Linked DNA regions of Oryctolagus cuniculus. The main gene of each other region encodes a partner of the protein of the gene in region 4 in a complex. Links are inferred from orthologs where the notes say so. Each region holds a gene or a part of one and is shown on either strand. Other genes may lie near its edges.

Region 1 (3,513 bases), on a different chromosome or scaffold from region 4:
TAGAGCAGCGGGCACTCCAACCAGTGCTCATATGGGATGCCAGCGTTGCAGGTGGCAGCTTAACCCACTGCACCGTGACACCGGCCCCACACTTGGGTTCTTGAGATAAGAGAGGATGGGAAGATGGCAAACATGTGGAGCTGGTGATAAGGGGAATGGGTTAGGAGTGTTTGAGCTATCAGGATGTGGTGGTGGAGCCCGTTGCTGTGGCCACAGATGGAAGGAGATTTGCAGAGGAGAAGATGGTGAGGGATTGAGGAAATGCAGAGGTGCCAGAGGGCATGACTCCTGCCAGACCTCCCTTCCCATCAGCGCCGTCCACAGGTGCTCTCTTTTGCCCTTGTCTCCAGCGTCTCCTCCCATCCATTTTCCTTCACCGCCAGCTAGCTACTATAGCACCTCTCTGCCTTGCATCTTCCCCAGGAGATGAATTCCCTCTTGGAGAACATCGCCAAGGCCACAATCGAGGTTTTCCAGCAGTCGGCGGAGACAGGGTCATCTTCCGGAAGCGCTGCAAGCAACATGCCCAGCAGCAGCAAGACCAAGCCTGTGCTCAGGTTGGGTAGAAACATGTTAGGACCCATTCCCTTATGAGTTTCTCTTCTGGTCCCAGGAATGGCGTCAGCCACGTGAGCTTGCTGAGCACGTCCGTCAAGGACAGGAGAGGATGGCTTGTTCAGCCTTGGCCTGGCTCCCCTATAACTGCATGTCCTCCATCTGTCCTCCAGCTCTCTTGAGCGTTCTGGTGTGTGGCTGGTGGCTCCCCTCATCGCCAAACTGCCCACGTCAGTCCAGGGGCATGTATTAAAGGCCGCCGGGGAGGAACTGGAGAAGGGTCAGCACCTGGGTTCCTCTTCCCGCAAAGAACGTGATCGGCAAAAGCAGAAGAGGTAAAAAGGGGCTGGAGCGACCAGGATTGAGGGGTAGAGATGAGAAGGGGCAGGCTCCGGGCAGAGTAAGATTGGAGGCTGAGAGCTGAGGATAAACATCATAAGAAAGGAGAAAATTGGGGCCTTAGGAGTGGGCCTGGCTGAGCAAAGAGGCTGCACCGTAAGAGGAATAGAGTCTGGAGCTTGGCAGAATGAGGTTGGAAGTTGCTCGCTCTCTAACCCATGGTCTCCCTTTTCCTTTCTTTCCCTCCTGTCCATAGTATGTCCCTGCTGAGCCAGCAGCCCTTTTTGTCACTGGTGCTGACGTGTCTGAAGGGGCAGGATGAGCAGCGGGAGGGACTCCTCACCTCCCTCTACAACCAGGTGCACCAGGTACAGGTCCTGGGCCATGCAGGTGGGCAGGAGAGAAGGGGCTGATGCACTTTTGAGGCCTCTGTATGCTGGAAACCTTCACCACTCGCTGATAACGCACATTTGGGCGCCTCGGTATGAACACAAGAAGGTACCCGAGCAACTTGGTGCATTTATTTCTATCCTAGATTGTGAAGAATTGGCGGGATGGCCAGTACTTAGATGACTGCAAACCCAAGCAGCTAATGCATGAGGCACTCAAACTGCGGCTCAACTTGGTGAGCAGGGGAGCCGGGGAGAAAAAGGGAGAGAGGGAGGCTGGAAAAGGCAGAGGAAAGAAGACCCTGGTCAGGGATGGCGAGGCTGAGGGTGGGGGTCCCAGGTTTCTCTGGGTCTACAACTATTAACCCTGCTCTCCTAAAAGACACAGGTCCTGAAATGGTTCTTGGGACTAGATCACCCTGGTCAGGGTCCAGTGGGTTGCGTGCATACCCTAGATCCTTGCAGGGATCCTGCCTCAGTATCCCACACTGTGGCCAGGCCCTAGAAACCCTGGAAATGCACTATGAAATGTGGAGTAGTATCCTGGAGATCATGTGGTCCGGCCCCCGTCATTCTCTAAATAAGGAAATAGAGGCCCTAAGATGTCAAGAATTCAGTCGTCAGCCTGAGATCATGTAGCAAATCCCAGGCACAGCTGAAACCTGGCCTCAGGTGTCCCGAGTCCCACCTAGCCCCGCTTCTAAGATCTAAGCCTGCCTTCAAGCCTGCCCATCGTCCCCGAGCCATCTGACTGACTTGTGGCCCTGGCAGGTGGGGGGCATGTTTGACACAGTACAGCGCAGCACCCAGCAGACCACGGAGTGGGCCATACTCCTCCTGGAGATCATCATCAGCGGCACCGTCGACATGCAGTCCAACAAGTAAAGCATCCCTGGCCCCGCCCCGGCCCCCTGTTCACGCCCCCAGAAGCCCCCCCCCCCACCAGCCTCACCCCACCCCGCTCCGCTCCAGGTCCATGGTCCACTGAGATCAGTGTGGCCCTGGGTGTTCCTCACCCAGTCTTGGTGCCTTTGGGATGACAGATCAGGCACCGCTGTCTGCTAAGGCCTTTTTCTGCCTGAACCTTTTTCTTCTCTGAGTTTCTCCTTGGCTCTCTGTCACAGCGAGCTCTTCACTACCGTGTTGGACATGCTGAGTGTCCTGATCAATGGGACGTTGGCTGCAGACATGTCCAGCATCTCCCAGGGCAGCATGGAGGAAAACAAGCGTGCATACATGAACCTAGTGAAGAAGCTACAGGTGAGCAGAAGATGCCAGGGCCGGGGCTTGGAGGTCATGGGATCATGGCCCCCTCTCCCCTGACACGGCGCTTGCTGCCCAGCCTCAGGAACTTCATTCTGGCCCACACCTTCCTTACCTTTCCCTTTCACATACTTTTCACTAATTTTTTTCTTTGTTTTGCACACAGTGAGGATTTACCAAGATGTTATCTTTATGCTAGGTTCACTGCTCCCTCCTGAGATTTCCTGACCCTGTTTTTCTGTAACTTTGACCTCTTGTCCCTTCTTCCCGGGCCTGCAGAAAGAGTTGGGGGAGCACCAGTCAGACAGTCTGGAAAAGGTTCGCCAGCTGCTGCCACTGCCTAAGCAGACCCGAGATGTCATCACGTGTGAGCCCCAGGGCTCCCTCATCGACACCAAGGGCAACAAGATCGCCGGCTTCGATTCCATCTTCAAGAAGGAGGCATGTTCCATTGTCTTGCCACGCCCTCTGCCCCTTTCCCTCCTTGAGCCAAAGGTGTCCCTGCCTTAACCTCGTGGCTACAAGGGCCTCAGTAGACTCAGGAGTCCATTAGGCTCTGCCAGTGGCGGAAGCCATCTCTGGTGTTTAGAGTGAATCATTTACCTCTCCTTACATGTCTTCTCCCCATCTTTGAAGTCCCACTCTCTTTCATTGCTCTCTCTCTCTCTCTCTCAACCCCCACCTATCTCTCAGTACCCCACCCTCCTCTTGCCTCTGCCCCACCCCCTTCCTGTCCTGTCCCCACCCCTCTATTTGGCTAAGGATGCAGATCTCTTTTATCCGTGCATATCCTCCACCCCACCCCACCCCATCTCTGCAGTTTCCTCTTGTCCCTCTGTGTCAGTGGTAGTATCTGTTGAATAGCTGTAATCATTGTATGTCGCAGCACTGAGAGGAGAAGGAGGATGCAGGGTTTCAAATCCAAAGTCCATTCGGATGTGCATTCTCTGCGTTGCTTTTCCTGATC
Region 2 (4,024 bases), on a different chromosome or scaffold from region 4:
CTTCTCCAGCCACACTGTTCCCTTTGGAAGAGGAGTCCTCGTTTCCCTGCTTGGCCCTTGCTCCGGATGCCCAGGATCCTGTTATTCTCTGCCCCGACAGAGCCTGAGAGGGCTGCTCATCCAGATTCAGAAGGTGGCTGAGGGATGGCTGTTGGGAGAGGGACGGGACTGGGACTTGTGGACTGGCACATCTGGTTCCTCAGGATACGGGGTTGGGGGCTAAAAGGAGGGGTGGCAGGACACTGGCCGAGGGCCCCCCCATTCCCTCTTGTCTCTGACTATAAATGTCTGGGGTGACCTGTCCTTATGACTGGGCAGGGGTGAGGCTGTATAGGGAGGCTTAGATCTCAGAGCCAGAGGTGGGGGATGTTTGCTTTCTGGCTTCTCACAGGAGGGAGAGAAGATTTAACGCCTAAAGCCCTGGACATTATAATCTACAATGTGATTCTTGGGATAAACAGGATTGCTTTTGGTATTTTATTTTATTTTTTGAAGAACTTATTTGTTTAACAGAAAGGCAGTATGACAAAGAGAGATCTTCCATCTGCTGGTTCACTCCCCAGATAACTGCAACAGCCAGGGCTCCAGGCCAAAGCTACGAGCCAGGAACTCCACCTAGGTCTCCCACGTGGGTGGCAGGGGCCCAAGTACTTCAGCCATCTTCTATTGCCTCCAAGGCACACTGGCAGGGAGCTGGATCAGAAGCAGAGTAGTCAGGATTCAAACCAGGCACTCCAATGTGGAATTCAGGTGTCCCAAAAGGCAGCTTAACCCGCTGCGTCATGCCTGCCCAATAAAACAGGGTTGGGGTGATATGGTGGCACAGTGGGTTAAGCTGTCCACTTGTGATGCTGGCATCCCACAGCAGCGTGCTGTACTGAGTTCTGGCTACTCTGCTTCGGCTCCAGCTTCCTCTTAATGTCCCTGGGATGGCAGCAGCAGACGGGCCCCTGCCACCCACGTGGGGGACCAGGATTGAGTTCCTGGTTCCTGGTTCCTGTCTGCAGCCTGGCCCAGCTCAGGCTGGCCAATTTCTAGCTCTGCACCCAGTTTCTCCTTTTATTAACATCTTGGCATTAGTATGATACATTTGTTAACAACTAATGAATCAACATCAATACATTGTTACTAACTGAAGTCTGCTTTGCTCATATTTCTTTAGTTTTTTGCCTAATGTGTTTTTTTTTTTTTTTTCTCTTTCAGGATCCCATCCTCAACACAATGCCTTTTGTCGTGTCCTCTTAGGCCATGTCGAGCAGTTTCTTGGATATTCCTTGTTTCTTAAACACGCTAACTTCGGTTTCCTCTTTATTTCCTACTGAATGGGCCAGGAGAGTATGTGAGGACGCTCAGATGCGGCTGTGAGGTGATGTGTGTGCCACTAACCGGCCTCAGTGTCGCCTGTGGGATGCAGGTGTGGAAATGAAAAGTCTCACAGCTCCAAGAGCTCAGTAGTGGGGGGGGGGGGGGGGATAAAAGACCAGGGAAGAGAAACGCCACACCCTGCCTACTAACTAGAGGGTAAGGAAAGGGTGTCGGAATAGGATGGAAGGGCCTGGTCGGCAGTGACGTCATTGGGCGACGCCCAGTTGCAAGCAGCTTTTCAAGCCCCCCACACACCCCGTGCCTCTGAGACGCTGTAGTGCCTCAACGCCTGGATATCCTTCTTAAAAGGAGATAAATAATGCGGCCTGACAAGTAGTCCCTTAGCTTCCTTTCCATGGCAAATACGACTTCCGTACAAGGAACTACAACTCCCAGAAGGCACCGTGGCGGGACTTGCCGTATCTCTACTGGTTCGTATTTGTTATCCTCAGCCAATAAGAATTGGGCTCTTTGATAAGTGCCAAAATGGCGCTCCCTAGGGTCTAGAGCTCGACTGTCCGGTAGGTTTAAATTTAGGGAGGTGGAAGATGAAAAGGATATAGGGAATTATAATTTCAGGGTTGGGGAAGATGGTGGAAGTGGGGGTGGGGGAGAAAGCTGAACGTGGGGTGGTAGAGGCCGAGGGACGCCGCCAGGGCTCGGGGAGTAATTGGCCATTGGAACTGGCTTAACCCTTTGCTACCCTCTTTAGTGTTTGTATTACCCGTTTGACACTCTCTTCCTCGTGCCCCAGTCCAAGAAGGGATGGATTAGGAGGGACGGGTCTGACAGGATCTCCACCTTGTCCCTTCCCCTTTTTTATTTCCTGCTCCTCGCTTCAATCGGTTCCCGTCTCCATTCTGTGGAGCTCTGCCCGCGGCTGTTCTCTTTCCCTGAAACTTATCTCCTCTTTAGCTCCATTTCTGCAACCTCAAAGCTGTTCTCTACGGGCCGCCGCCTCAGAGTGAAGGCATGAAGGTGGTCAACCTGAAGCAAGCCATTTTGCAAGCCTGGAAGGAACGATGGAGTGACTACCAGTGGGCAATCAACATGAAGAAATTCTTTCCCAAAGGAGCCACCTGGGACATTCTCAACCTGGCAGGTCTCAAGTGAAGTGGAAGGAAGGGTGGGAGGGATGAGCCCAGGGAAGTCGTAACCACCCAGCCTTACTTTGTTGTTCCTTTTACAGAAGCACTCCTGGAGCAGGCCATGATTGGACCTTCCCCCAATCCGCTCATCCTGTCCTACCTGAAGTATGCCATTAGTTCCCAGGTAAACCACTTCTTCCCCAAGGAATGATTTTGGGGGTGAATGACCTGGAGTGCAGTTGTCAACTTAGTTTTTTTTTTTTTAAAGATTTATTTGTTTATTTGAAAGGCAGAGTTACAGAGAGGAAGAGAGAGGGAGGGAGAGAGAAAGAGAGAGAGGTCTTCCATCCGCTGGTTCACTCCTCAGTGGCTGCAACAGCCAGAGCTGTGCTGATCAGAAGCCAGGAGCCAGGAGCTTCTTCCGGGTCTCCACTTGGGTGCAGGGGTCCAAGGACTTGGGCCGTCTTTTATCGTTTCCTTAGGCTCATTAGTAGGAAGCTGGAGTGGAAGTGGAGCAGCCAGACACAAACCGGTGCCCACATGGGATGCCGGCACTGCATGCAGTGGCTTTACCTGCTATTCCATGGTGCCAGCCCCTGAACTTACACTTTCTACATGAACTGTTTGAACAGATTGCTTCTTTGAGCTCAGTTTTCTTGTAAAAATAAGAATACTTCATATGTTGTGATGGGTATTTCATTTGCTTATTCTGTCAGTGCTTTTAGTACCAGACAGTGCTAGGCTCTGAGGAAAAAGCTGTAAACACGACCTGTTCCTGGTACACAGGAATTTAATGGGTGACATTCATACAGACTTGTAAAGCAGCAGTCACTTGATGGGTTTATGATAAGGGTTAGAACAGAGTACGGGGGCTCCCTGTTGGGTCAGCAGGTTAAGCTGCTGCCTGTTAGCTTGGCATCCCATATCGAGCACAGGTTGAAGTCCTTCCAATAACGTATCTGAGGAAGCAGTGCAAGATGGCTCAAGTCAGGCTGGCGCCGCGGCTCACTAGGCTGATCCTCCGCCTAGCGGCGCCAGCACACCGGGTTCTAGTCCTGGTTGGGGCGCCGGATTCTGTCCCGGTTGCCCCTCTTCCAGGCCAGCTCTCTGCTGTGGCCCAGGAGTGCAGGGGAGGATGGCCCAAGTGCTTGGGCCCTGCACCCCATGAGAGACCAGGAAAAGCACCTGGCTCCTGGCTCCTGCCATCGGATCAGCGCGGTGCGCTGGCCCCAGCGCGCCGGCCACGGCGGCCATTGGAGGGTGAACCAACGGCAAAAGGAAGACCTTTCTCTCTGTCTCTCTCTCTCACTGTCCACTCTGCCTGTCAAAAAAAAAAAAAAAAAAAAAAAAAGGTGGCTCAAGTCACCCAGATGGGAGACCCAGATAGAGTTCCAGGCCCCCTTGTTGTCATCTGAAGAGTGAGCAAGAAGATGGAGGATCTTTCTCCTTCTGCCTCTCCCTCTGTGTTTCAAATGAGTATAATAAGTCTTCTAATTTATTTTTAAAGAATAGAGTATAGGTACTGTGAGAGAACATGGAAGGGACATCTAATCCAGTCTGAGCAATCAGGA
Region 3 (4,060 bases), on a different chromosome or scaffold from region 4:
AATAAATCTAATTTAAAGGATTACACGAAGTCCGAGAATCAAATAAAGGGAAGCCAAGAAAAGCTGTTTACCTTCGGTGGGATTAGCAGGCTGGTCTTTGTTAATGGCTGTCTGAATGTTGTTAAAAGAGGCAGGAGGCCCACCCTGCTGCAGCACTCCAATGGCGTTACAGAACTGATCTGCAAGCTTGGGCCAGAGAAAACAGGTCAGGATTATACAAAGTTTATCAAGTCTAAAGCTTTTGCTGGTAATGGCAACAAGTTTCCCAAAACAATGCTCTCTGAGCAGGGGAGTGAATCAGAAAGGAGTAATTTCGGATAAAACAAGCCAGTGTGTTAACAATGATTAGATATTTCAACCATGCAAATAAACTTAGTATCAACCTAGGTGGTGTTGATATCAATCTAGATGAGACAGTAAAAATGGAATTAAAAGATCAATATATTTTTATGCAAAAAAATTTTGCAGCCCATGCAAACTTGTATCATCTTTCTTGTCTTCTGAAGCTAACAGAATGATAAAGACAATTTTGTGCCAATATTACAGGCAACGAGACTTTCCACGTATGGCCCCAGATTTAATTTAAAAAAGTGTTACTCATATACAATTCCTTTTCTGAGATCTCAGTGTTCACAAGGCAAAGAAATAGGGGAAATAAGGTGCCTTTTCTAATGCAGTGCTAAGGCTCGCGTTGTTAAAGTATTCCTTCAGCAGCTCTCAAGACTGAGAAACCAGTGCCTTACCATCTTCAACCAGGGACCACAGCTCCCCACCAATCCTCTCACTAGGCCTGACCTCTCAGACCTCAAGTCCTATTTCCCATCAGTGAGGAAGCATTTCCACCGCCCTTCTCCGCCATGACTGCAATGGCCGGACTCGAAGTCACCTGCTCCCCGGATAAGTATCTAACTGGTCTTGAGAGCGTCCTAGCCAACCAGTCTCATTCCAGAGCCTCATGCCTTCCAGCTTCCTATCCCGCGGATGGTTCATTCTCCCCCTTCTGTTCCATCACTTACCTCCTGCCAGAATTACTGCAATCGCGCCCTCACTGTTCTCTGGTTACCCATCGTATTCCCCCCTGCACAAAAACCGCCGGCTCACTCCACTGCGGTCAGCAAGCGGTTTCCAACTTTTCAATAATAATCTCAGCCAGCTCTTCCTAAACATTTTTCACATTTTACTCCCTCACAGTTACTCGCTAGTTATCAGTTTGCTGGTTTGCTATTTGCAATGGAGGGGGAAGAGCTTGGAAGCTATATAAACCTAGATTCTAATCCTGGTTTGATTAACCGGACAAACAGCGGAAACGCACAAAAAACCCTTCAACACAGTGGCTATCTGTACTGTCCCTCACAAGCTTTCAAGATCCATTTAGACGTTCATTCAACAAACAGTGATTGAAAAAAACTCCACGGCAAGAAACGAACATAAACCTAACAGCCGTAACACAAATATGGTGAACACGACATGAATAATTACGATTACGATAATTCAGTATTTCAGGGCGCATGGCTCCATATTCCAATTTACTCAGCACTGACAGCTGAAAACACCGCATTCATTCTAACTCCCTAACCCCATAGTGTTTTTACATCATTTAAACGTCCCCTGAGTATGTGACATCATCCTTATGCCCTTCAGGCTGTCCCTTTGGAACTACGATTGGGCTCCGACACAGCAGGCGCTCATGGCGTACCCTGAAGGCTTCTCTGGAGACCCCAGCTACCAGCAGGCCTCCCCCTGGGGGAGAGGCCACACTCCCTCCGCCCTGCCTCGCCTCCAGGGGCCAGGCCACGAAGGAAGGCTTCCATCCAGCACCAGCATGTGTAGAAGCTCCCCGAGGGCCTGGCAGGATGTCACCCACACTCGGTGGCTGCCCGCTCAGCCTCGCAAGCTCCCGCGCTGTTCACAGCACGCTGGCGCTCTGCAAGCGCTCGGCTCGTCAGCTTCAAGGGCTGGGGGGTGAACAATCACAGTGCCCGCCCAGGCACCCGCCCGGGGACAGCAGCCCCAGCAGGCAGGGCAGCCAGCGGCCGCTCCAAGCCCAGGGCCTAGGGCTCGCACGCACTCTCAGGTGCAAAGCATCGCCAGGGACAACGCCAGGGGAGCCGCTTCTCAAACCCAGGGACCTCAACGCCCGACACAAGGTTCACAAGCTTCCAGACGTCAGCTCTCGCCATCCCCGCCTGAGGGAGCGAACACAACTTCTCCAGGCGCCACCGCTCCTGCTCCCGCCCCTCGAAGTACCGGAGCCCGGCTAAGGCGTCGCACCGAGACGCAGTCTCCAGGGCCCCGGGGCCGAGGTATACGCAGAGAACCGCGTCTGCTTTCTTCTCCTCCCGCCCCCAGCACCAGTGTCCGGCGAGCCCCGTGAGGCCGCCGCCGGGCAAAGGGGCTGCTCCCTCCGCGGCCCCCGCGGCCGGCCTCGAACGCCCCGAATTCGCAGAGGCACCGCCTCCATCTGCTCGCCACCGCCGAAGGCTGCGTCTCGGGCCTCTTCTCCTCCCCCGTTTTACCTCAGGAATGAGGCAGACCGCAAGTAAGCGAATTAAAGCGCCTACCGAGTTCACGGCGTCTTGCAGCTGTGTGAGGCGGTCCGCCATGTTCCTCCCGCACGCAGAGACGCTGCAGCAGCTGCTCCTACGCGATTGGCCAGCTTTCGTACGGGTCACGGCCAATCAGAGTGCGGCTCTCCGGAAGGGGTGGGGTCATGGAGGACACGCCCCGCGAGGAGGGGCGGGTGCCGGGGAGAACGCCGGGTGAGCTACCTGGACCTGCAGCGGCTGGGGCCCGGCATCCTTTGCGCGACTGGGCTCCCTTTCAGGTTGTGAGGTGGTCAGCTGTTTACCGAGATCGTTGAATTCTGTGGGATTATTTAGTGGTTTGTCCTACTTTCCCATGTATTTAAAAATTTATTTATATATTGTCATTTTATTAGAGAGGCAGATTAAGTTCTATCTGCTGATTGATTTTCCAAGTGCCTGCAGCAACTAGGGGCTGAGCCTGGCCAAAGCCAGAGCCTGGAACTCAGTGCAGGTCTCCCACCTGGGAACCACTCCAGCTATAACCTGCTGCCTATCTGGTGCTCACTAGCAGAAGCTAAAATCAGGAGCAGAGCTGGGATTCGAACTCAAGCCCTGTGATGCAGCTGTCCCAAGCAGTGCCTTAGCCACCATGCCACACACCCACCGCCTGCCCAGGGCTACCCCAGTAATCCAGTGGATTAATCCACTCAGAAGGGCCGAGTCACCTTTCCCTATCACTGCCCTGCACAGCTCAGAAACTGTCAACTGACTCATCTCTACTTGCACATCTCAAAGGCACCTGATGTAGTTCAGGTTTGCTGTCACATGCCAGAGAGAGATGCAGTTCCCTAGCTATCCTGGACTGCTCGGGACCCTACTGCAGGAGCAAGGCCGGCGCAGGCGGGTCACAGAGTATCCACACCTCACCTTTTGCTTCATGTTAACACTAAGAGCTCCACCCCAGGGGGAGTGTGAGCTGTGCTGCCGTATGGTGCAGCCAGTGTTGGAGCATTCTTCCAAACTGTACCTTCATGGACCTGTACCCACCCCCAGGTGTGATCAGAACCTCCCTCTTACCTGCTCATCTTTCCCTCTCCCCTGCTCACAGAGTCACGGCTTTGGAAATGACTCCTTGTGGTCTCCTTGTCTGCTGCAGATATATGACTTGGTGTGACAGCTCCTTCTGGTGCATTCCTTAGATGCATGAATGCGGCAGACACATTCAAAGCATGGCAGTGGGGGAGACAGTCCTTGGGGAACTCAGCTTGCAGGACTGAGCCCGGCCCTTTCTGGGAAGCCCCACCTCTGCGTCAATAGACCTGACCTGCTGGGGGAACCACACAGGTGAGACACTTCCCATATCATGGTACCAATGCCAAGTGACTCTCATTTGCTTTAACTGTAGTTTGGAGCAGTCTGTAGCTTTCTTGTACCAGTTGAGAGTATACCGTACCGAATGTTGCACCGTGCCATGGAAGCTGCGTTTGCAAGGGGCAAAAGGTCAGGGACTTGCTAGGAGTTCTACACTTGCCCAA
Region 4 (3,887 bases):
AGATTTATTTTATGTGAAGGCAGAGTTATAGAGACAGAGAGATCTTCCATCCACTGATTCACTCTGTAAATGGCCACAACGGCTGGAGCTGGGCCAATCAAAAACCAGGAGCTTCTTCTGGGTCTCTCACATGGGTGTGGGGACCCAAGCACTTGGGCCATCTTCCATTGCTTTCCCAGGTGCATTAGTAGGGAGCTGGATTGGAAGTGGAATAACTGGTACTCAAACCAGTACCCAAATGGGATGCTGGTGCTGCAGGCAACAGCTTTATCTGCTTTGACATAGCACCAGCCCCAAAAAAGCATATAATGAAAAAATATGCATAGATTTCAAAAATTTTTTGTACCAAAATGGACTTAAAAATGCTTATTTATTTGAAAGAATGACAGAGAGAGATCATTCATCTACTGGAATACTCTCCAAATGACCACAATAGCCAGGTTTGGGAGCTGCATTCTGGACTCCCACGTGGGTAGCAGGGCCCAAGTATCTGGGTCATCTTCTGCCTTCCCAAGCACATTGGCAGGAAACTGAAACAGCAGTGGAGTAGCTGGGACTCAAAACTAGCAGTCCAGCATGGAAGTCAGTGTTGTAGGAGGTGGATTACCCATTGCACCACAACACTGGCCTCTAGGCTTGTTTTCTGATTCCATTTTCTACAGTCTTTGTGAAATACTCTCAGATACTAAAGAACATAGTACATTTTGTTTGAGCTTTTTTTTCTGTATGAGCTGTTAGTCATCTAAGCATCCCTCTGTGAGCCACCAAGGAGAGGGGAACCACTCCCCACATACACACTGGTATGCAGGACTGCTAAAGTAGTACCCGCTTGCCAGCTGGCCTTGTTCCATGCGTTGATCCCAGCCTGGGTCTGCCAGCGAAAGCCTGGGTGATGAGTAGGTCTCCGTCCGTTGCAGGTCAGGCCGGGAAGCTGATGTATGTCATGCACAACTCGGAGTACCCGTTGAGCTGCTTCGCCCTCTTTGAGAATGGCCCTTGCCTTATTGCTGACACCAACTTTGATGTGCTCATGGTGAAGCTCAAGGGCTTTTTCCAGAGTGCCAAGGCCAGCAAGATTGAGACTCGGGGCACCCGTTACCAGTACTGTGACTTCCTGGTGAAGGTGGGCACTGTGACAATGGGTCCCAGTGCCCGGGGCATCTCTGTGGAGGTAAGATCTCGGTGAAGTGGGAGCAGGTGGTGCTGAGGGGCTGCGCAGCAGAGGGCTCTGAAGGTTTTCCAGGCAGCCCAGGTCACACAGATGTTTTTGCCTGCCTGACCCCTGATTCCAAGCTCCTGGCTTTCTCTCCATGAATTTTTTACCCTTTCTTTCATCAGTTATGGAATCAGTAGCCCAGCATGGGAAATGGGAAGCTGGGTGCACAGCAGGTAAAAGCATACGATGCCTGACTTGCCGGAGAAGGGAAGGGAGAACTGAGGGAGACATGTGGGTGATGATGTGCAGGAGCTGTGGCAGGACCTGCAGCAGACTAGGACAACTTTTGGAGCCACTTTTGGAAGGTGACTCCTTCATCACTTTGAATGTCAGCCTCCTTATTGTTGCTTTGAAATGGGTCTCAGAAGTTGTGGAGTGAAAATGCGCCTTCCTTTTGATATGCTGCTGCTCTGTTTTGTGGTGCAGAGGGGTACCTGTATGAGAAGACTTCATCCGTGAGCCTAAATATACATACTGAAATTGGCAGAGAGGAGTAAGGTGGAAGCTGGCCCTGGGACCTGGGGAAGTCCATGGCCTACCACATACCCAGCATTATTTGAGATTAAAAAACAAGGAAGTTTACAGGGCTTGCATTTTGGAAATCTATGATTTATTAAGAGAACAAGGCTAGAAAACTGTTTTTGAAGTCAGTCCAAGAAATGCCATAAGTGGAGCACAGCTTTGCTCAGGGAATTCAGGCCAGCGGTAACTGCTGACTCGGTTGTGATGCTTCTGGGAGGAGCAGCATTGAAGTAGGGGCTTAAAACATAGAGACGTGGGATGGGTCGGTCTGGGAAGCATCCCAGGTGGGGAAAAGGGCAGTAGCAGTGATTTCTGCTCAGAAACCTCTGGAGCACAGATTCCCTAACTTTTCAGCTTGGGATACACCTTGAGTTGCTGAGACCCAACGGGACCCGCTGTTTGTCCTCCACTTCCACCCTTGTGGGACAAACACACTCAACAGTTTCTCCTTGTGACCCCAGTGAAAAACTAGGAGAGAGGAACAAGAAAACCTGAGATGTGTATTCTTGGCCGCTGCCACCTTGCTTGGGAAATTCTTTTAGGCGTAGAGCCCTGGCTATATCTGCCTTGGAAATAAAGATTGGTCTTGAAGAGGCTCATGAGGATGTGTGTCTACTCTGCCCTCTACTTACCCCTTCAGCCCTACTCCTGCCTTCCTCGTACCTACACACATTTTTCTTCCCTTCTCTCTTTGTTGTATGTCTCAGAATTTTCCTGAGCTCTCCTTGAATCCTCACCAAGCATCACAGCAGAGTCTGCAGAGCCCTGAGACAAACAAAAGGGACCCAGATCTGCCCATGGGGCTAACAGGGAGGGCTGCGGGCTGACAACCTCCAGGATGGCGTTTAATGGGAACAATGCTGGGTGTGTTGAATATTTCCTGTGGACAACACTGTGCTGGCAGGTGTGTGTTTTTGACTCAGGGTTGGGGGACATAGAGGCAGAGGGCAGGAGGGCAAGAGAGCAGACCTTGTCCTTGCCCTCCCTTACCCTCATTCTCTGTTCTTTTGGTCCCCAGGTGGAGTACGGCCCCTGCGTGGTAGCTAGTGACTGCTGGAGCCTGCTGCTTGAGTTCCTACAGAGTTTTCTAGGCAGCCATACACCAGGGATTCCTGCAGTGTTTGGAAACAGACACGACGCAGTCTATGGCCCAGCAGACACCATGGTCCAGTACATGGAACTCTTCAACAAGATCCGCAAGCAGCAGCAGGTGCCAGTGGCTGGGATTCGTTAGTGGCTGGCAGCTGCTGGCCAAGCTTTGTCACCAGAGGTACTCCACAGGAGGAGGTGCTGCCCTCAGGTCTCTGGACCCCAGAAATCTAGGGCAGCCATGGAGGCCTCTCTTCCTTTCCAGTTCCCAGCTGTGGCCTTTGTGGGGACTCTGGACTCCACACCCTTGACCCTCACACAGCCCCCCAACAGCCATTTTGCCCCAGGCCTCACTGGATTTGGCCTGTCCTCAGGAATGGTATTTATGAAGACTGGAGAAGTTTGGACCTCTCCTGCTTTAGGGGAAAAGGTAGGACAGGGGTGCCCCTGCCTAGTGTTGGTGGGGAAATCAGTCTGGACCCACAACAGATGTGCTGCGTTTCGTGTTTGGGCCATGCAGGAATAAAAATCTCTTCCTTAACTCAAAGGATGTGGCTGGAGATGCAGGCGGAAGCACAGCTTGTTTGATGCCTGTCATTTTCTGACCTGTTTGCCAGAAACTGTGAATTGACTTTCCTAGGGTGTTAGCTGAGTTTTTGAGCTCTCCTGTTGATGTCTTTCCCTTCTGTCGTGATTATGTTAAGCCACAGGCTAAACTCTGTCGTAGCGGAGAACCAAAAGGACTGTGGCTCTTACTAGGTAAAAGTTTCTTTCTCCTCTGATAGTACACAGGTAATCAGATGGTCCAGAGCAGATTTAACTGTACCAGGTCATCAGGAACTTGTTTTCCTTCTGTCTTGTTGTTCAGCTATCCCTAGGGTATTATCCTTACCCACAAGATCAAAGCAGACTCCTCAGTTCTGTGTCCACATTCCCCTGGGAAAGAGGGAAGAGAGCGGCTTTTTTTTTTAGAGCATATGACCTGGAGCGATTCAAGTGCTGGTGCCACACTTTGCTGGAAGGCTTCGCTGTGACGCGGAACCTTGCAACTGGGTAGTCA
Region 5 (3,513 bases), on a different chromosome or scaffold from region 4:
ATTCATCTGCCTCTTCCTCCCCAAATGACCACAAGCCAGGCGGCAGGAGCTCCGTCCGGGTCTCCCACGTGGGTGCAGGGCCCAAGCACTCAGGTCGTCGCCTGCTGCTGCCCCAGGCGCGCCAGCAGGGAGCTGGATGGGCAGCGGAGCAGCCGGGCCCCGTATGCGATGCCGGTGTCGCAGGTGCCGGTGCCAGCTCCGTGGGGAAGCTGTGTCCTGTGACCGGCAGTGTTTGTTTCTGTTCCCCAGTAGAAGCGTTGCTCATCTCTGACAGAATGTTTGTTTTTCTCTCTGAGTTCTGTTTGTGTTCATTCAGAAGAAAGAGCAAGTTTTAGGATTTCAAAGTTTAGCCTTTCACTGTGGCCCTCGGACTTTTTTTTTTAATGGTTTTAGCATTTATTCAGTGAGAGAAGAAATACACAGGAGAGTGAGGGCTTTATAAGAGGGAGAGGGAGCTGAGGGGTTCACCAGGCTTTTCCAGGGAGTGGACGGAGGCTGGGAGAGCACTCGTGGGCCGCGGGTGAGCAGGTCTCGGGCCAGCGGGCTCTTTGTTCCAAACAAGGAGCGGTGTTGACCTCGGGCGTTTTGGCAGTTCACGGTGCCCTGGCAGCCGCCGTCTCGTCTCGTCTCGGTCCAGGTGACCGTGGACTGCCCCTTGGAGCATGTCCAGAGAGGCCAGTGATGGTGGACCAGGCCCAGGGGGTGCAGGTGCCCGGCGGGGGCTTGGGTCTGCTCCCGCCCTAATGGATGTGGCCATCCGTTTGTTGAAGACACGTTTTCCAAGGCCCCCAGGTGCACAGGCTGGTGGTGAGAGGGCTTGGACCCGCCCGTGTGTGGGCTCGTCCTGCAAGGTCCACACTGCCGGGATGGTGGGTTGACGGCGTTCTGCAAGAAGCGCCAGAGACCGGTTTTGGTGAACAAGTCTGCTTATTGACGATCAAGCATGAGATAGAAAAGGGCAGGCGGGGGGCGTGGCTAATTCAGGGCAACACCAGCGCTAGAGGGTAAGGCCGCCGTTGGCGCGCTCTGCTTCTCAACCAGCTTGAAGGTCCTGCAGCCTTCCTGATGGGCCTGGGCCGCGCCCGGGGGCTGTTTACCTGATGGGCAGTTCCGGGCTCTTCCGCAGGAGGCTGGGGTGGGGGAACGGGCCTGGGGCTGCTGCTGCCTGCCCGCAGTGAGGCTAACTTGCGTGGGCCAGGCACAGGGTCACCCACAGCCCTGCAGCAGGCCCTGCCCCCTCCCCACAGGAGCGGCCGAGTGCGAGCGTGCCTGTGCCTGTGCCTGGGTGTTTTCCCTGGGCCGCACCCGCGGAGTGCTGAGTGCCTGAGCAGACACAGATCGGCTGCAGGTTGGAAGGCCGCAAGTCTGGGTTCCAGGCGCCGGCCAGGCCTCTCTCTGGGGGCCAATGGGCGAGGCTTGGTTTCCTTTCCCGGCTTCTGGTCGTCCCAGATGCCCCTGGCTTGTGTCGCCCCCGTCATCACACAGCTCCCTCGGCTGGCGCCGTCTTCCCCTGTTACCGGAGAAATTGCAGGGTTCTTGTCTTCGCGCAAGAAAGAATTCAGGCGTGAGACAGAGAGCAGTGGGAGGTAAAATAGTAAAATAGCAAGGTTTATTAGGGAAGGGACATCCGTGAGGATGGATGGGCACCTCTCCAGACAGGACCTGGGAAAGAGTGCAGTCGCTCGGACTGGGGGGGGGGGGGGGGGGATGTTACATGGTTGAGTGGAGAGAGTACACCTGACCAGACCAGGCGGGCGGCTCAGCAGAGAGGCAGAGGGCTGAGCGCGCAGTCCGGTTGAGGCTGGGGGCGGGGGGGGGGGAGGGTTAAGGAGATGGGTCTCTGTCTTCACACATCTCCTCCTGAATCAAAGGATTTTATGGCTGTAAATATTAAGAAGCTCCTATCTGAGTTTTCCCCTGAAGGTATCAGACAGGAGGAAGCCCAGCTGGCGCCATCCTGGGTTCAGAGGAAGGGTGAGCAGGACCCCCTGGAGAATGGGGATCCGGAGCAGGGTGTTTGAGATGCAGGTACTGGGCTGCACCTGGGAGACTGTGGAGGATTTGTCAGGCGGAAGTCGGGGGGAATCTCCACCTGGCAGGTCATCAGGTAGAAGGGGGCAGGGCAGGATGTGAAGATGCGAATACCGGGCTGCCCCTGTAACACCATCAGGATGACTTTGAGATGCAGATGCATATGCTGAACGTAGAAGTTTTCTCGGGAGGCCTTTGGCACACACACGTAAGCTCATAACTGACTTCCTGCCTAACACCCCAGGGTCTGCCCTGCTGTCCCCTGGTGACCTGTTTAACTCGATCACCTGGGGAGAACGCGTGTTTCCAGGTGGGCGAGGGGCACCGTGGGTGATGCCCTGCCTGGGACGCAGCGTCCGCTGCCCAGCGCCCGGAGGCAGCAGGTGGAGCTCGGGTGCCTGGACCCCTGCCACCCACGTTTGCCCTGCGTGCAGCTCCCAGCTGCTGGCTCTGGCTTTGCCCAGCCCTGGCTGTTGCAGGCATTTGGGGAGGGGAGTGAACGCACGGTTAGGAGGAGTATCACCGCCTGTGTGTGTGTTGTGGGGGTGCTTTTCAAGTAAAATTTAAAAAAGTTTTTAAAGATCCCATTTACAGTCGGGTCACATTTTGAGGTACTAGGGGCAGGATCTCAGCTTGTTTTATTTGGGGAGAGGGAGACACTCAAACCCACCAGGTGCTGGGAGACAAAGGGGTCCCTCTACCTGCTGGGAAGGTGAGGTGAGCCCAGGGCTGGCTTTAAAGATGGACTAGATGGCCAGGGGTGTGGAGTGTGGACAGGGTCATCCCAGGATCAGGACAGCACAGGTGCCCCGTCCACGCCCTTGGCCTGGTGCTGTGCCCACTGCGGGGACAGTGCAGGGAACACAGGCCGGCGGGGGGGCGAGGGGCACGTTGGCTGACCCCTGACCTCCGGCAGGTTCATGGGCGGGGGCGGTGAGAGCTGCAGCCTCATCGCCGAAGGCCTCAGCACAGCCCTGCAGCTGTTCGACGACTTCAAGAAGATGCGGGAGCAGATGTGAGTGCCCCTCGCGCGGCCTGGGCCGGGCTCGTGCCAGCTGGCCCGGGACCACGTGGTCTGTGGTGGGGGCGTGGGGCAGGCAGCTGGGGTCGGGGTCTGCGGCCTCCTCAAGGCCCCGTGGTGGCTGCTCCATGCCTTTCTTGACCTGCAGCGGCCAGACGCACCGCGTGTGCCTGCTGATCTGCAACTCCCCCCCGTACCTGCTGCCCGCCGTGGAGAGCACCACGTACTCGGGCTGCACGACCGACAGCCTGGTGCAGAAGATTGGGGAGGTGAGGACCCAGAGTGCCCTGGGCAGCTCCCCGAGTCTGCCGTCCCTGCCTCGGCCAGTGAGAACTGTGGTTAAGGCCTGTCAGGTGTGGGCACCCGGGGCTGGCCCCGCGTCCCCCCTGCTCTGCTCTGCTCTGCCCTACATCAGGGCACCCACTTCCTGTCGTATCCCCCCCACAGCAGGGCCCCCACTT

What was found.
Region 1: MED20 (region 4) and MED12 share a complex: the UniProt entries of both Homo sapiens proteins name them as parts of the mediator complex. The link is inferred for Oryctolagus cuniculus from reciprocal best matches to the Homo sapiens genes MED20 and MED12.
Region 2: MED20 (region 4) and MED24 share a complex: the UniProt entries of both Homo sapiens proteins name them as parts of the mediator complex. The link is inferred for Oryctolagus cuniculus from reciprocal best matches to the Homo sapiens genes MED20 and MED24.
Region 3: MED20 (region 4) and MED21 share a complex: the UniProt entries of both Homo sapiens proteins name them as parts of the mediator complex. The link is inferred for Oryctolagus cuniculus from reciprocal best matches to the Homo sapiens genes MED20 and MED21.
Region 5: MED20 (region 4) and MED25 share a complex: the UniProt entries of both Homo sapiens proteins name them as parts of the mediator complex. The link is inferred for Oryctolagus cuniculus from reciprocal best matches to the Homo sapiens genes MED20 and MED25.

The regions. Positions count from the first base shown.
Region 1 is NC_091453.1:50,938,513-50,942,025, forward strand, and holds part of MED12 (mediator of RNA polymerase II transcription subunit 12), read left to right. Parts: intron 1-423; coding exon 424-557; intron 558-728; coding exon 729-890; intron 891-1,150; coding exon 1,151-1,262; intron 1,263-1,429; coding exon 1,430-1,519; intron 1,520-2,054; coding exon 2,055-2,164; intron 2,165-2,407; coding exon 2,408-2,543; intron 2,544-2,825; coding exon 2,826-2,987; intron 2,988-3,513. UniProt on the Homo sapiens protein: Component of the Mediator complex, a coactivator involved in the regulated transcription of nearly all RNA polymerase II-dependent genes.
Region 2 is NC_091448.1:22,377,079-22,381,102, forward strand, and holds the start of MED24 (mediator of RNA polymerase II transcription subunit 24), read left to right. Parts: upstream 1-1,212; 5' UTR 1,213-1,796; intron 1,797-1,812; exon of another isoform or gene 1,813-1,886; intron 1,887-2,280; 5' UTR 2,281-2,337; coding exon 2,338-2,467; intron 2,468-2,554; coding exon 2,555-2,637; intron 2,638-4,024. UniProt on the Homo sapiens protein: Component of the Mediator complex, a coactivator involved in the regulated transcription of nearly all RNA polymerase II-dependent genes.
Region 3 is NC_091440.1:124,254,646-124,258,705, reverse strand, and holds the start of MED21 (mediator of RNA polymerase II transcription subunit 21), read right to left. Parts: upstream 2,805-4,060; 5' UTR 2,604-2,804; coding exon 2,562-2,603; intron 187-2,561; coding exon 72-186; intron 1-71. UniProt on the Homo sapiens protein: Component of the Mediator complex, a coactivator involved in the regulated transcription of nearly all RNA polymerase II-dependent genes.
Region 4 is NC_091436.1:127,992,858-127,996,744, forward strand, and holds the end of MED20 (mediator of RNA polymerase II transcription subunit 20), read left to right. Parts: intron 1-917; coding exon 918-1,171; intron 1,172-2,445; exon of another isoform or gene 2,446-2,642; intron 2,643-2,756; coding exon 2,757-2,972; 3' UTR 2,973-3,374; downstream 3,375-3,887. UniProt on the Homo sapiens protein: Component of the Mediator complex, a coactivator involved in the regulated transcription of nearly all RNA polymerase II-dependent genes.
Region 5 is NC_091449.1:7,732,023-7,735,535, reverse strand, and holds part of MED25 (mediator of RNA polymerase II transcription subunit 25), read left to right. Parts: intron 1-2,947; coding exon 2,948-3,046; intron 3,047-3,200; coding exon 3,201-3,321; intron 3,322-3,513. UniProt on the Homo sapiens protein: Component of the Mediator complex, a coactivator involved in the regulated transcription of nearly all RNA polymerase II-dependent genes.